2 linked regions of the Lonchura striata genome follow. The main gene of each other region encodes a partner of the protein of the gene in region 2 in a complex. Links are inferred from orthologs where the notes say so. Each region holds a gene or a part of one and is shown on either strand. Other genes may lie near its edges.

Region 1 (7,708 bases), on a different chromosome or scaffold from region 2:
AACTCATCTCTTTCCTATCTCAAGGACATTTTTCTTCAATTTCTATGTATTGTTACTTGGAATTTCAAGTATTGAGCATGAACTGGTAAACTGTTTCACAAGAAACTGCTTTGGAAAAATACCATCAGTTTCTGTATAATCAGTACTTCTTCTAAGAGATCTTTAATTTGTATCTTGAAAGTAAAATTACTGTGACCATACAGCTTCAGGGCCTGTTACACTGTACTGTTTCCCAGGCCACAGAGCCAGGGCACTGGTTCTTCCTAAGCTTTCACTGGTGCAGAGAGAATACAGGAGCCTACAAACAAACACCTATTCCAGAGGCTCAAGCTGTAACTGGCTGAGGAAGCACATTAATCATCACCCAAAGAGAATGCAGTAAGCAATAGGGAAAAGAATAGGGATAGCTCAAAAGATACCAACAACAAGCAAGCCTTCTGTCAGCTCCTCAACATTCAGTATAGTGAACTCCCAACATGTATCACATATATATAACAATTTCCAGTGAAAACCTGCTCCAGGTTTCACAAATCAAAGAACACACAAAATCCCTTGTGAAAGCTTGGAGGCTGAGCAGCCTCTCTTTCCAAAGTCTGTTCAAAGTTAGGTAGATGAAGAAGGCCGGGGCAGGGAGAGGACCCCAGGAGGAATTCTGCCTCTTTTCAAATCCAGGCACCTACCAGCCTGCAGCTGATGGAAAAGCGAGTTCACTGAGGATGCTTTAGGAATGGACAGCTGGCAGAAAAATCCCTGCCTCCCCTTTTCTATTATATGCCCTGGAAGGGGTACTCTCCCTGGGATAGCTCCTGCCTCCTGCTTTCCTGGGAGGTCTTCAAAGACTGGTTATCTTTGTTTAGGTACATATACACACTCTCTTAATATTCTCCAGATATAAGGACACACATGTGGTGTTATACAAAATAATACATACACTAATAAGGTGAAAAAAAGAAAAATCGGGCTGGAATATTAAAAAAAAAATCTCATCCGTTCAAAAATTTAGATGTGATATCAACATACACTGGTTAGCACATGTTGACTAAAACATTTTCACAGTAAAGCTTTAATGTAAAATAAATATCCTAGATATCAGTGAGGGGCCTGAACTTTATATACAAGTATATTCAACACCATCCTACAGCCAGTAATGATAAGAGCAAAGTTAAGTAAGCCCGTAATGGTAAGAGGAAATAGGGTAAGTCCACCAATAGCAAGGAAAAGACACAAAAGAAAGAAATACATAGTAAACTAATGTATTTCCTGCAATAGGAAAGAGAAAAGAAAAAGTCTTGATGTCATCTGAAAAGACTGTAAGCAAAAACAGCACAAAACATGCAACACAAAACTCTTCAATGCGCTTGTGACATGCAGATGCCTTGGTCAGGAGAGCATTTTCCTGGAATTTCTGGGTGTTGGTCTGGCATTTAATTAACATTAATTAACAAAGACCTATTTTTTAAAACTATTTTAAAAGCACACCAGATCATATTTAAATGAAAGTCATTATTAGACTCATTACAATTGCAGAACTAAATTATGTCCTTTCTTCCGCTAAATATATTTTGATATTTGCATGTACCACTAGCTCCAAACTGGATTACTGTATGTCTCTGCCAAAAGACTTTTCAGACAGGCACTGTATCAAAAGGCTTCATTAAATTGTAACACCAGGCATAATATTCGTGCTCTAAATGCTGAGGGCTCCATTAATCCCATTTTGTGCATTTACCATTGCCTTCTGATTCACACAACTTTAAAATGCTGAAACCTCTGTCTTCTCAGAAAATTCTGTGATGTGGTATGTGGACTAGGCTGATACTGGGGAATACCATCATGTATTGGTCACATCCTTCTACTATCCATCTTTGATTTCTTTTCAGAAATTGAGCTTTACTTGCAAAAAAAAAAAAATACTGCTTTCCACATTAAAAATCAGAAGCTTTGAAGGGCTGAGAAACAGACATGCGCCCTCATTTTCCTTTCCAATGCAAAATACGCTTTCCTGGGCATTTTAACGAAACAGATGGTAGGTGCTAAGCCCCTGTACACGGCTTTCTCACTCACTTAGTGTCAGCACACATCTAAAAGGATATATTTCTAATAGGTGCCTTCTGATGCCCAATTGCTCCGGGAGCCCCTGCGGGATGCACGGCCCGGCCGGAGGAACCCAAAGAGCAGGGAGCCCGCAAGAGAGGCGCTCCCGGTGTGCGGATGGCACGGGATTGATTACGCACCAGGAGAGACGACGCAATTATAAAACACTGGCCCCGCATTCGCCTGCCCGTGCCCGCACGCAGGCGATCGCATCCCGTGGTTCTGCCTTTCCACGCACGACACCGAGATGCCGCAGGGACACACACACACACACACGCATACACACGCACGCAGCCCCGCCACAGCCCCCGGCAGGACTGAGGAGCCGAGCGCTCGCCCACCGCGACCCTCGGGCGGGAAGGACCGTCACGTCCCGGACAAAGGCTGATGGAGACGGGCAGCCGCCCGCGCCGACCCCCGGCTGCTGCCGCCGGTGGCTGCGCGGGGTCGGCGCCACCCCCGGCCTTACCTGCGGCGGGCGGGGGCGGCCGGTCGGGCTCGTCCCGCTCCAGGGTGACGGCGCCGTCCCGCCAGACGCGGAGGTGCGCGGCCGCCGCCCCCAGCCTGGCGGCGGGGGTCTCTCCGCGGCGGGCGCGCAGCGAGGCGCAGCACTGGTAACACACGGCCCACGCCTGCTCCTCGTTGATGGGCTGGTTGTAGAGCCGGAGGATCTCCTCCAGCGACAGCGCCTCCGGCTGCCCGCCGGACCCGCCGCCGCCGTCCTCCTCCTCCTCGGCGGCCGGGCGGGAGGCGCCGGGCTGGGGCTCCATGCCCTGCGTCCGCCGCGGTGCTCCTCGCTCAGTGACCGGCCCCGCCGCGGCGGCGGCGGCTGCTGATGCTGCTGCTTGCGCTGATGCCGCTGCTGCTGCTTGTGCTGCTGCTGCCGCCCGGTCCCGCCGTGCTCATCCTCTCCGCCCCGCTAGTACCACCAGGCCGCCGGACGGACAGCCCGGCCCGCGCGGCAGGCAGCAGGAGCCAGGAAACAGACAGGAGTCAGGAGGAAGGCGAGCACAGGATCAGCGCCCGGTCCGCCCGCCGCCGCCGCCGCCGCAGGGGGAGCGACAGCTCATAGCAACGCAATGGCGTCCTCGTCCTCGCCCGCCCCCGCCGCGCGGCGCCGCCCGCCGCCGCAGCGCCCCCTGCCGGCACGGCCGCCACGGCACGCGGGGGATCCACCCGGGGCTGCCGCGGCGACCGCTCGGCTTCCAGCTCCCGGAGACACCGACGGACCTGCGGCACTCGGCCCACGGCCCTCGGGACGCCGCTTCTGCGCCGGGTGTCGGTAACCACCACCCCCAGAAACAAGCAACTCCCGGCGGGACGTGGGATGACACTCCCTGCACCCCCAAGTGTTGAACACTTGACACCAACCCGCGCCATCACGGATACAGCGAAACGTAGCAGGGCCCCGCTTTCATAGCGGGAGGGTGAGTGCCTTTGAATTTACAGGTTCTGCCCTCCCAAAGCAAACTTCCTCCGGGAAAGCTCCATCCTCGGCAGCATCAAGGCTGGAAACGTCCACGGTACATAGAGAGGCTAGCGGAGTTAAACCAGCCCAGGCGAGAAGGGGAACAACAAGGGAATCGTCCTCCAAGCCGCTGGGAACTGACGTCCCTGCCCCTGGACACACCTGGGCACCAGAAGAGCACAGCCCTTCATGCCAGCTTCACCCCAGGCAAACGAGCACTTTCACGCAGAGCACCATCAGACTAAATAAGCTGGAGCTTACACCGAACACTCGGTGTTTCTGTCTTTAGCGTTGTACCTCTCAGATGTGAAACAAAAATCTCCCGTTCGCACCTGATCCACAGGGAGCCGGGTGTGAGGGACGGCGCCGGGAGCGCCCCCTGCCGTACAGGAGAGGTACTGCACCTGGACAAGGTCCCCGCCGCCTTCCACTTCCAGCTCCTCTCTTCCCATTCCACTTCCAGCTCCTCTCTTCCCATCCCACTTCCAGCTCCTCTCTTCCCATCCCACTTCCAGCTCCTCTCTTCCCATCCCACTTCCAGCTCCTCTCTTCCCATCCCACTTCCAGCTGCTCTGAACGCCGCTTTTTTCCTCTTTCCTCTTGTGCAACATGCAGCGGTGCATACAAGATGCAAGTTGTACTTAATGCTGTTGAATTTGGCGATAATCACCATGCAATATGATTTAGCCTTTCAGGCTACATTTAGATTCAAGGAAACTGGGGGAGAAATTGTACTTGTGAAGCTTTTATCAGCATCCTATATGCTGTGTAACAAGCAAATGAATGCATTTTGATCTTTCAGGCATAAAAAAAAAAGATACCACAAAAACAGACTTGTAAAGTTAGCGGTAGGGCCAGTAGGTACATAGTGTACTATTAAGAGTCCTAAATTTAAAAAACCTCAGTGCTGCCATAGAAAGTATTTAACATTTCTTGAAGTAAAAAGTTAAAAGTGGTTTCACACTGCCACACTGCTGATTAAATGTACATGCAAAATGCCAACATTCACTCCTGCTGTATGTGTTGCAAAATTCTCTTAGGATCAGGTACTTTTTTTGGTCCAGCACCAGCAGAAAGAGTTGCCTCCTTCTTACTAGGACAACCAAAGGAGGTGGTCATGGGCTATCACTGACACAGAATGGCTTCTACAGAAGAAATCAAACAGTTTCAGATTTTTCCAGGCACAAGAAGAGATGCCTGGAGTCCACATGGGGAAAAACCTGAGAAGTATGGTACAGAAAAGTTCAGTAAGCCCAACAGCTTGTCATTTTGCATAACATAAAGATTTAAAGATACTCAGCAAAATCATCACCCACAGGTTTAAGACAGACAAAATCACAGATGGCTAATTAAGTACAGATCTGAGCAACAGAATTACACAATGGCTGTCAAGGAAAATGTCCTGGCTACAATTTCTACCTCAGAAACTTCTTAAGGTAACAAGAGGCAAAAGGCACCAAGTTTAACTACTTTATCCAACCCATCATAGCTATTCATATCTTCAGGTATGCAAGTCTTAATGTGTATTTCTGAAATAAATCCATATATTACTAAATTCACAGATGAACAAGTTTACCTTTATCCAATTGAACCGTTCTCAGAAGTTGAATGTAGAAGTTACTGTTAGAGCCACAAGACGCAGAAATAAATTTTGTTGTCTGAAGGAAACATGCCTAAACACCAGTATTTCTGGAACCCAGTCACTCACAAAGTATACCCTCTACACTACAGGGAAAGGTGAGGTAGAAAAGAGTCTCTTACCCTGCAGAGGTAAAGCAGACCCAAACAAACTCTTAAACCAATTCAGAAGATATTTTTTGACACATTTTAGTAACTTGATTCACACTTCTGTAAATATAAAAAGTAACTTTTATTACAAAGAATAAATTCTCTTTATAAATACAATCATTACTGTGTACACAATCCCCTTCAATACACACACTGTGGTGTTCAAAATCAGTGGCATTTATATAAAATACTATATTCATTTTTAATTGAATCATTTTACACCCACATACATTATTTTGCAGGGCTAAAAAGGTATGAACATTTTGGGACTTTTTTCAAAGGACAGAGCGATATTTACAAGCAAACATGATCCAAACAGCACACGCAGATTCAGGGTATGCAAACACTCGTACACGAACTGCAAGTCGCACTTGGTCTCCCCTACAACAGATTATTTCTTCACAAAAAGGAGACCTATATCACAAAAAGAAACACAGGAGTAACAGACAATCCTAAGATATTGTTTAAGCTTTTAATTACATAGTGCAATTTTTTTTAAGTGTGACTAGCATTTAAGTAAAAATTAATATTGTGAATCTGTCATTACAAATAATATTGCTCTATAGTTGCCTTGGAGGAAAATGACACGACCACTGATCATTTTTAAGTACAGAGAAATGAAATTAACTCCTTGTTCTTCAATTTAATACACGAGAAGTCTATCACCATTGAATCACCAATGTAACCTAAATGCTCTGTACTTCATGATCCATTACACTACACCACTCTTCCTCCAGTTCTAACCTAAGGAAATTAATTTTCTTTAAAATCCATTATTAAAAAAATGAGTTGCAATTAGCAATTAAGGATTACTATTTCGTTTTAACATATACCTGTATCTTTACACTTAAGACTTACCGAAGACATGTGGCAAATGCTCTCCTGGCATTTCTGTGCACAAAATGGATGGGAAACCCTTTGAAGGTGTGACCATCAGGTACTGCTCTCCTTACAGCATCCTGAAACTCTTCATTTCCTGCACAAACACCTGTTGTGCGTTCCAGCTCATAGGCTGCTAATGCTGGTGACAACAGATAGGAGAGCTGGTCATCCCAAACAGTCGAAAGGCCAAGATCCTGGGAGGCAAGTCACAGAATGATGACAACTGTGCAGAAGGTACATCAGGATATGCTTAAACTCACCTACTGTATAGATTCAAATAAATCCAAGAATCTTTATATTGGCAGTTAATGGCAGTGTACTCACAAAGCAGTGAGATTCGTGTATTGACTCATACACCAATTGGGAGAAGCAAACACCACCACCTGAAGCAAGTGACACCACAAGTATCAAACATTTATCAAGGAATGAAGTTAAACTATTAGACTAAAACATAAGGCCAGCAGAGCTGAAACCAGATGTTTCAGCTACAGTATCTCTGCACAAAATGTAAGAAGATATGCATAAATACACAGCTAAAATATGGAAAAGATCAACTAAGAGTCACCTGACATTTTTTCAAATGTCTCATGGAAAACCCTTTCTGAAAAAATGATGCACAACAGCTCCCTGAAACACAAAGGCACCTTCTTTCTACCATCTATCTTCCCACCATGTACATGAACCTTCCTCCCAGCATCCCAAATGCAAAGAAGTAGAAAAATCTTCTGTCTATGTATTCAACACTGCATGAGACTTATACTCTGACAATTACTTTGCCACACTAAAGGCTGAGCATCGTGTGGGGAGATAAAACAGAATCAATCAAAAAACCTCATTAAAAACAGACATAAGCTAACAGGGACTTAAAATATCATTGTCTTCATGTCCAACACAGGAAGTATAATTGCTGGCACATTATGCCCTGTAAAAATCCTGGTGAAGGCAAAAATTAACTTCTAAAAATTTCTCTGATTTTGTAAAGCAGTCAGAGTAAGATCACGAAAGCTGAAAGCCTGCTTTCATCTAGGACCCAGAAACATTTTTGCTGGATTGGCAAAGCCCACTAACATCCAGGTTTCATCTTCCTGGTGCTTTTAGAGACCCCTCATGGGTGGTCTGCAGGTGCCAGTAAGCTGAAAGTCACAGATCTAGAACAAGGGGCAAAGGCAGGGTAGGTGGAAAAGCCCACATATGAGGCTGTGGACTACCACTGCAAATAATAGTATAAAACAGCTTATTACAGTCTTCCCAAACATTTTTTTTCAGGTTTTCACCTTTCCCATATCACGTTTCTGCAAAAGCTGATGGAAAACACACTGCAAACTAACAAATTGCTATCTAAAACAAGTATACAATTAACACACGAACTTCTATTACCATGACATATCACTGCCAATCTTTCTCACCTTTCTATGTTCAGAGACCAGTATCCTCAGCTGCACTTCTATCTCGTTGCTTGTTACAGCAGCATCTATT
Region 2 (7,650 bases):
TGCTTTTCATATGCTATACATCATATGCTATATATACTTCAAACTCAAAAAGTTTAGGCAGCATGTCCAAAATTCTCTAAGAAAGGGTGGAAGGGATTTAAAACAAACAAAAAGATTCAGCTCAGTTCACTGAGGGCTAGTCTCAGAGGGAACTGGCTTTTCTTTGTTAAAAACCTTGAATTCTGATTTTCTAGACTGAAATTGGGGATTTTAGTTCAAGGCTACTGAAGAATGAAAGCACTGTGATTTGAATCTAGAAAATAATTTTAGATATTTACTTCCTAAATCATACTTTTCTGTTTGATCTTCATAAAACCACAGAAAAAGATCACTCAATTTTTTGCTAAGACCTTGTGCACATGTATGGTTGCTGTGCTCATGCATCTAGAACTGACTTCATTCAAAAAAATCTGATTTTATCTAACAGCAGATGCTCTTAGGGTATGTTCTCTTAGTTCTACAGTTTTTCCTCAAGTGAAAAATATATGGAATATGTTGCCGAGTTTTCTCTGTACACATACCTCCTATGTGGCAGAAGTGTTCCTAAGTATGAATATATTACCTTTAGAAAGAAACTTCAGGTGAGGGGAAGAGAGAGAAAAAAAAAACCTCAGAGTGAAGGAAAATATAACTACCTACTTACACAACTTCATTTGTGAGCTTTCTAATCCCATGTCTTTGGGACAGGATACAAGCTGTCTAACAGGAAGGTAAAAGTTTACTGAATGAGTCACCTTATGTAGCCTGAGCAGCAGCATGTCACAGCTACCAAATCGTACAACCCCCACTTTCCCCGTTTTTGCTGCCTTTCAATACACTGACTTTTTTCTTCTCCTTCTTCCCCCTTCTGAAGAGGAAATTGGTTCCTTTCTGAAGTGCTGTCCATCTGTGCTAGCACAGCTTTTTCCTTTTTGTACTAAGCAAATTCTCATCATTGCCTCAGTCTAACACCAGGTGCAGCTCTCCTGTGTTTATATTACACTAGAACAGCACCTAGCACAAAAAAACCCCAAACAGGATCCTGGTCACAGAAAGCTTTGCATTTGAAAGCTCTGTTCATGCAGAGAGCTGATCTGCCTACAACAGTACAGCTTTTAGCATTTTTCAACAAGAATAATTTAAGACATTCAGCCTTTTCCTACAGGATGTAGACAAAGGAGACAAGTAGAAAGAAAAACTTCAAAGAGTTATGCACTTCCTTTACGGGCAGTACTGCCAGACTGATGAAATGTGACTGTGTTTGTAAGATCAGGCCTTGGATTGCAAGGCCAAAGTACTGCATGCAATGAATTTAAGTATTTTAAAAATATTTTCAAAGCTGTTGTGGAAAAAAAAAACCAAAACAACTCTTAATACATATCACTTACCTGAAAAGACATTGGGAAATGTCTCTGTAGAAGCCTGGACCCCTGAGGACTTTCTTGAATGAGTCAAAGGCACACTTTCTGTTTGAAATTTCTCTCTAAACCCCTTGTGCTCCAAGTAGTCTGCAGAGCTCACCTTCTCCGTTATCTCGCTTTTGTGATTAGACACCTCTTCTGTCCAGTCTGCAGAACGACTGAACAAACCTGCCAAACTAGCAGACCTCTTCTTCCTGATTGAGACTTTTTCCTTTTTGTGGAAGGACTCCTGCCTCCTTGTGAAAAGTGGGCTCTGGGATGGGGAGGGAGAAGGTGAATGGTTGGGAGAACTCAGTTGCCTAGTTGTGGTTTTGATGTAACAGGGGTTAATTAGATAGGGCTTAAAGCATCGGGAACCAAGTATCGGGCTGTCCGCTGTTCCTTCAGAGGACAAAATGCCATTTTTCATTTCTGTGGATAAACCATTACGCAGCTCCTCTTGACTGGCTGACAGAGTGTGTTTCCCTTCCTGAGTCTCAGCAGCATGATCACGGCCTGCATCTGAAATACCACCCTCTGTTACTGAGCCCTGAAAACCAACAGCCTGCACTTCAGTGATTTTAGCCTCAGCATCTGCCACTGGAGATGGAAAAGGTTCTGTGGAGCTGTGTGCCTGAGACCCATTTTCTCCTGCAGCTCTATTCAAACCATCTTGTTGTTCACAGGCTACAGCATCCACTTCAGCAATGGGCTGCTCCTCAATCAGTAGCTGACCTTCTTGTGTTTCAAATAAGCTGTTACCAGGAGAGCCTGTGCTGTTTACCGCTTCTTTCGGTTCCCGTTCAGTTGCACAGGAGATGGGAATGTTTTCCACGATTTCCGATACCGCTGGAAAAGCCCCCTCAGTGTCTGGGCTCCTCTCTTTGTCAGTGGTAGTTACTGAAAAAAAACGTTCAAAATCTAAGGAGGTTGCTTGAGAATTAGCCATGTGTCGGCCCATTGTTTTGGTGACGAGGTCCTCAGTTCCAATGTTAATTGCCCCCTGCTGCTGCTGCTGCTGCAGTCTAATAGCTTGCTGGATATCAGAAAGCAAATCCTCTTGTTCTGCGGCTGAATGGAAACTGTATATATCCGTATCAGAGCCAGAGCTGGTCCTTTGTCCATCCTGTGTCTCTGCAGCAGCTGGAACAGTTTCATTTCTGATTTCAAAATGTTCAACATCTGTGTCTGAGAGACCCCCTTCATCTGCAGAGATGCTTATATCGGGAGTTTTGGTTACAATTGAATGAGTACTGTCCAGCTCCCCAGGCTGCAAGGCCTGGCTTTCCAAAACATCCTCCCGGGAGCTGCTATTCCCATCTTTAGCCTTGGACAGATTTTTTCTGATCCTCAGATTTGAAAACACAGAGGGCCTGGAGTCCGACTTACCCTTCTTCTTACCCGATTCGCTTCCTTTTGCATGCTTCCCCAGTCCCCTTCTGCCTCCCGATACCTTCTTTGTGCCGTCCGTATCCTTGGGCCCAGAGGCATCTTCTCCTCCTTCTTGCACATCACCTGTATTTTTCTTTAGCTTCCCATCTTGATTCCCCATGATTTTTTGTAGAGCAGCACCTTTGACAATCAAGCCATCCTCCCGGATTTCATTCCTTTGGCCTGCTGGCAAGATCCCCTCTAGCGATCCAGGCTTGTTTGCAGGCGGCGGGGATGCAAGTGAAGCAAATGCTTGCTGTGCCTCTCTCCCATCTGCTGGAGCTGCCTTTTTGCATAATGTGCTGCTTGCACTGGGCTCCGCTGGGACATGCTCAGTACAGCACTGAGAGCTGCAGACAGCTCCTTCCAATGGCTGCTGCTCTTGGAGCTGCCTGCTCGCCGGGCTCCTGCTGCACTTTTCTTGCTTTAGGAAGGATTCTGTGAAATATGTTTCCTTTAGAAAAATCACTTCTTTTTCCACGGTTTTTATTGCCTGCATTGCAAGCTTAGCTTGTCACCAAATCATTTATGATTTCAGTACTTCTAGCTCCTGAAGGGAAAAAAGAGAAAGAATAAGTTAAAACAAGGTACTTTAATTGCTCTGTAACTGCTCAATAAATAAATGAACAAACTTAGAAAGAGAAATATTATGATTATTTAATAGTTTATAAGGTGCTTAAGCATATGCCGCTTTGACAGATTACACAATACCTCTGGTGATTTATATGCTTGCTTTTTAAAGGCCACCAAAACAATAGATAATTTTAAAAGAAGAGTCCTTCTCCTTTTAAAGTAGCTAAAATAAAGATAATAGACATAAAGTTCTTTCCACAGTTTTAAAGAGTTGCACTTAAAATTCAATGCATTGTGGTAATTATGCTATAAAAAGCCTCCCACAATTTGTATTCTAAGAAGGTAGATATACTGTTATTCCCAGGAGAATCAGCTCATCAATATTAAAACACATCACCATTGTTTTCCCTCATAAGAACATCTGGCATGAAACAAGATAAAACAAAAAAAAAAAATAGTAGTATTCAAATGCTACTAAGGAAAAAGAAACAGTAAAGTACTCCTCTATTGCACCCAACCTATTTAATAATTGATTTAGATGGGAATACTTCCTAGCTACTTTGGAAGCTTGTGCAAAAGTTTGAATCAGTTGCTGCTTCTCCTTAATTTTTGCTTTAGATTTATAAGCTTCACTATTTCATAAATACATATTCTGAACTTTTAGATATTTCCTTCCACTTTTAAAATTTAGAATTAATATAACAGGAATAGAAATCAAAGGACTTGAGAATGCTGTTACCATAGTCAATCAATTCGGCTGTCCAATTCCGTGGTTCAACACCAAACAGGTAGTAATTAGATAGATTTTCTGTTTATAATTTACCATCTCTAAATTTTCCAGTCTATTAGATTCAGTTTTTGTAAAAGACTTTATGTATTCCTCATGGCTATGAACTTCTTCACTTGCAATTTCCCTTTAATCAGGGATTGCTTAAAATAATACATCATTCCAGGGAAACACATTCTTCTGGTTTCTCTGTTACTTTTGATGTAATTCCTACCAGAGATTTCACTTCTTTCCTCTGCCTTAATAAACATTAAAGAAGAAGGAGTACCACTGACATTTTAAAAACTATACAGGCACCCTCTCCTCCCCACCCTCTACTTCCTCCAAGACACACATTATTTTTTTTCCAAAAATTTCTAAATACCTTTACAAATCTAGGCTCTCTTTTTATAAACAGCAAATAAGTGCTTTTTATTTGGTTTGGAAACAATAACACTGGTAATAACCCATGCAAAATAATTTTTTTTGAACTATCATAATTTCTTCCTTGTGCTGCTTGGTCACTTACTGCTCTGATGTAAGCCCTGTCCTGAGGGGGCTATGGTTCAGACATAAGAAAGAAATCTCTTGTCTTCAAAAACTTGAGTGTTTTATGTGGATCAGATGACTTTGTCTACTCAATGGGACGATTTGGGTTTTTTAATTATTTTTCTTTATCTAACCAAGTTAAAAAACTAATTTTTTCTACTTTTAACACTTAACAACTATAAATATGCTAACAGGAACTAGTATAGCAAAACCTGCAAAAGCATGTCACAGGCTTTTGCTTTTTTACTTCATTCCTGCTTTTGCTTTCTGTTATGCTGTTATACTTTTTGCAATATTTTACCACTTACATCATTATTATGTATTTGCAAAAGGCTTTTGAAAGTGCAAATAATTTCAGTCCAACTGAAGATACACATAAGAATTAAGATATAATTTGAGAGAACCATTGTAGCAGAATAATACCTTGACGGGTATTCTAATTGACTAGAACTGAAAAATCTAAGCCTTAATTACAACTGGAGTACTTGTATCTTCCAACCTCACTTAAAAACTATTTTCCTGCTAAAATATGCCAGAAATCAATATAATTCAGGAGTAGTATAAAGCTACAATAGACCAAATGTGTAAGGGAACTTTAGAATTAGTGTAATGTTCTGAAACACTCCCTTTCCTTCCTTGTCTGTGAACTTGCCTGTCAGATCCTATACACTTCCATTACAACTAATGACAAATCACCAGCAGTGATTACTCTGCAAATTGTGTTGTAAAAGCAAGTCATCGACACAGGTAGGCTTATAAGGGAGTCAAGTTAAAGACCAATCTTCATTTCTTAATTAGATACTAATGCTTGTAATAGGTTTAATCACGTAAGTACTTATATTTCCTAGAAGTTTTCATACAGCACATCATGATGAGTCAGTCGTTAGAAACCCCCCACATAATGTATAGCCATAAATATTCTCAACATTTAAATATATTACAGTAAAAAACAAATGTTAATATTTTGGGATATGCTTATTCCCAGACAGTCTTTTAGTTTCTAGAGAAAAACATGTCATCAAAAGTCAGCAAGAAACCATTTTGATATCAACATAAGCTACATTTTAAAAGCTGACATGGCATTTAATATTTCACACCAAAAAAGAGAGACTTTCAACAGACACTGTATGGAGAAAAGAAAAAGATTGGGTGTTCAAGAAAGATATTTCATTTTAAAGAGTGATAACTCATTCTGAGTTACCATAACTTATTCTTAGCTTTCTATAAATTGTCAAGAAGCTACTGAGGGAACCTGCCTGCCTGGCTCAATCAATATTTGCCAGTGCTCAGCCAAAAATACTGAGGGGTGACACTACAAACATAGACCTGAGATCCTCTTCATCACTCTCCTCCTAAGCTCAGGAGATGCAAATGGCAACACACAGAGGGGAGTCAAAACTTACAATTGAAGAAACGTTATCCTTGTGCTCCCAGAAACCTCCACATTAACACACTCCTGTTAAAAACGCAAAGCCCTGTTCAGGACTGTGATTATTTTCAAGATAGTTGCCATTCCCTGCAGCCTCGCTGGAAAGGTGAGTAGCTCCCTCAGCAGTGCTTGCCTAGCCCTTAATGAGCTGGGAGGGGAAGGGCAGCCCTGACTGCCCACACCTGGGTCAGGACTCAGTCTCCTGGAGCACAGCCAAGGCAGAGTGCTGCCCCCCTGTCGGCTCAGGGCTTCTCCCTCCCTTCCTTACAGAAGGCTGCGTCAGCAGTCCCAGTTCCTGCTGTTTCAGACCCATGGCAAACATGGGCTGCCTGGAGGAAAAGAGGGGTGCCTAGGGGAGCCTGCTCAGTGGAGACACAGCTTTCTTGGGGTGGATGAGTTTTCACCATGCTTTACTGACTGTGGTATTTCATTCTGCTCTCAACAGTAGTTGTTGAATAAGCCCAGTAAAGCGAAGACAACACCCTGTTACTGCCTCAGGCTGTGCCCGCTGGAGTCCAAGCCTTTGGGCAGGGTTAGGCTTCACCCACCCGACCCCAGGAAAGGGTTTCATGCACAGGAGTGTTACCAAGACACAGAGGACCCAAAGCAGCATCCCAGCAGTGATGCTGCACCAGCAGCACTGCAGCAAAGATGACCTGTGTGTGCCATGTGCCCCCATAGCACCCTGCAGAGTGACTGAGGGACAGGCCCTGTGCTCACAGCCAGCCCTTCCAGCAGCCCACAGTGGCTGTTCAGGCTACGTGTGTGTGTGTGTGTGTACATGGGCTCTGTGCCCTGCCACTGCCCTGCTGGGAGACTCAGGGGAGATGAGGCTGCTGCAGCCCAGGGCATCTGCTCTCCTGCGAGTAAGACACTACATGGCAGGCCAAGGCAGAGGTTGACTAGAGGGTGCTGAATCTCAATCTCCAAGGACTCAGGCTCCACACAGATGTGGGCTGAGGCTGGGGCAGCAGCAGTGTGAGAGCCTCAGCACTGTACTGCAGCCCTGGATCTGGGCTCTGCTGCCCCAGCACTGTGTGCTCTCCAGCCTCTTCTCACACCAGTCCCAAAGAAGACATGGCTGCAGGAGATCCTCATATATTCCATACAAACCCTGCAGAGATTAATTTTAGTGAGTGGCTCAATGTGCATGGGTTTAGTTTGGAGAAAAAGGAACATAGAGTAACAAGAGCATTTCAAAGTACTCTGGTGTCACATTACTGACTGGGATATGGTAATACAGAGCGTGTGAAGAAAGAGTTGTTTAAGCAGACCGAAACATTCTACCCATTTATGTTACTAAAGTTTGAATTCTCATTCTCATTCAGTTCAGTGCTGGAATTTGGTCCTGATTCCTGCTGTCTTGTGGCAGCAAGAAGCCTTCCCTGGCTACTATTCTGAGCATGATGTAAAACTTATCTTCCCAGAAGGCATCAGCTACCATTAAATATTCCCTCACATTACCAAAATCATGCTCCAAGCAGTTGAAAATTTATTCCTGCCCCTACATTCCCATCTCTTTC

What was found.
Region 1: the proteins of FMN2 (region 2) and SPIRE1 are in contact, whole or in part, in a crystal structure (PDB 2YLE), measured with the Homo sapiens proteins. The link is inferred for Lonchura striata from reciprocal best matches to the Homo sapiens genes FMN2 and SPIRE1. Residues at the interface, in NP_064450.3 of Homo sapiens: Ser1702, Leu1703, Lys1705, Ile1706, Lys1707, Pro1708, Arg1709, His1710, Gly1713, Ile1714, Lys1715, Lys1717, Ile1718, Lys1721, Thr1722; in NP_001122098.1 of Homo sapiens: Gln51, Pro52, Ile53, Asn54, Glu127, Ile131, Tyr134, Lys135, Asp138, Leu141, Lys142, Glu143, Asn144, Glu145, Glu146, Arg147, Glu148, Glu154, Ile157, Asp158, Ala161, Asn162, Thr163, Val164, Glu165.

The regions. Positions count from the first base shown.
Region 1 is NC_134603.1:53,147,320-53,155,027, forward strand, and holds the start of SPIRE1 (protein spire homolog 1), read right to left. Parts: upstream 3,162-7,708; 5' UTR 2,865-3,161; coding exon 2,564-2,864; intron 1-2,563. Other genes in the region: CEP76 (centrosomal protein of 76 kDa), read right to left, coding at 5,626-5,764, 6,209-6,426, 7,639-7,708.
Region 2 is NC_134605.1:47,123,473-47,131,122, reverse strand, and holds the start of FMN2 (formin-2), read right to left. Parts: upstream 3,172-7,650; 5' UTR 2,932-3,171; coding exon 1,368-2,931; intron 1-1,367. UniProt on the Homo sapiens protein: Actin-binding protein that is involved in actin cytoskeleton assembly and reorganization. Acts as an actin nucleation factor and promotes assembly of actin filaments together with SPIRE1 and SPIRE2.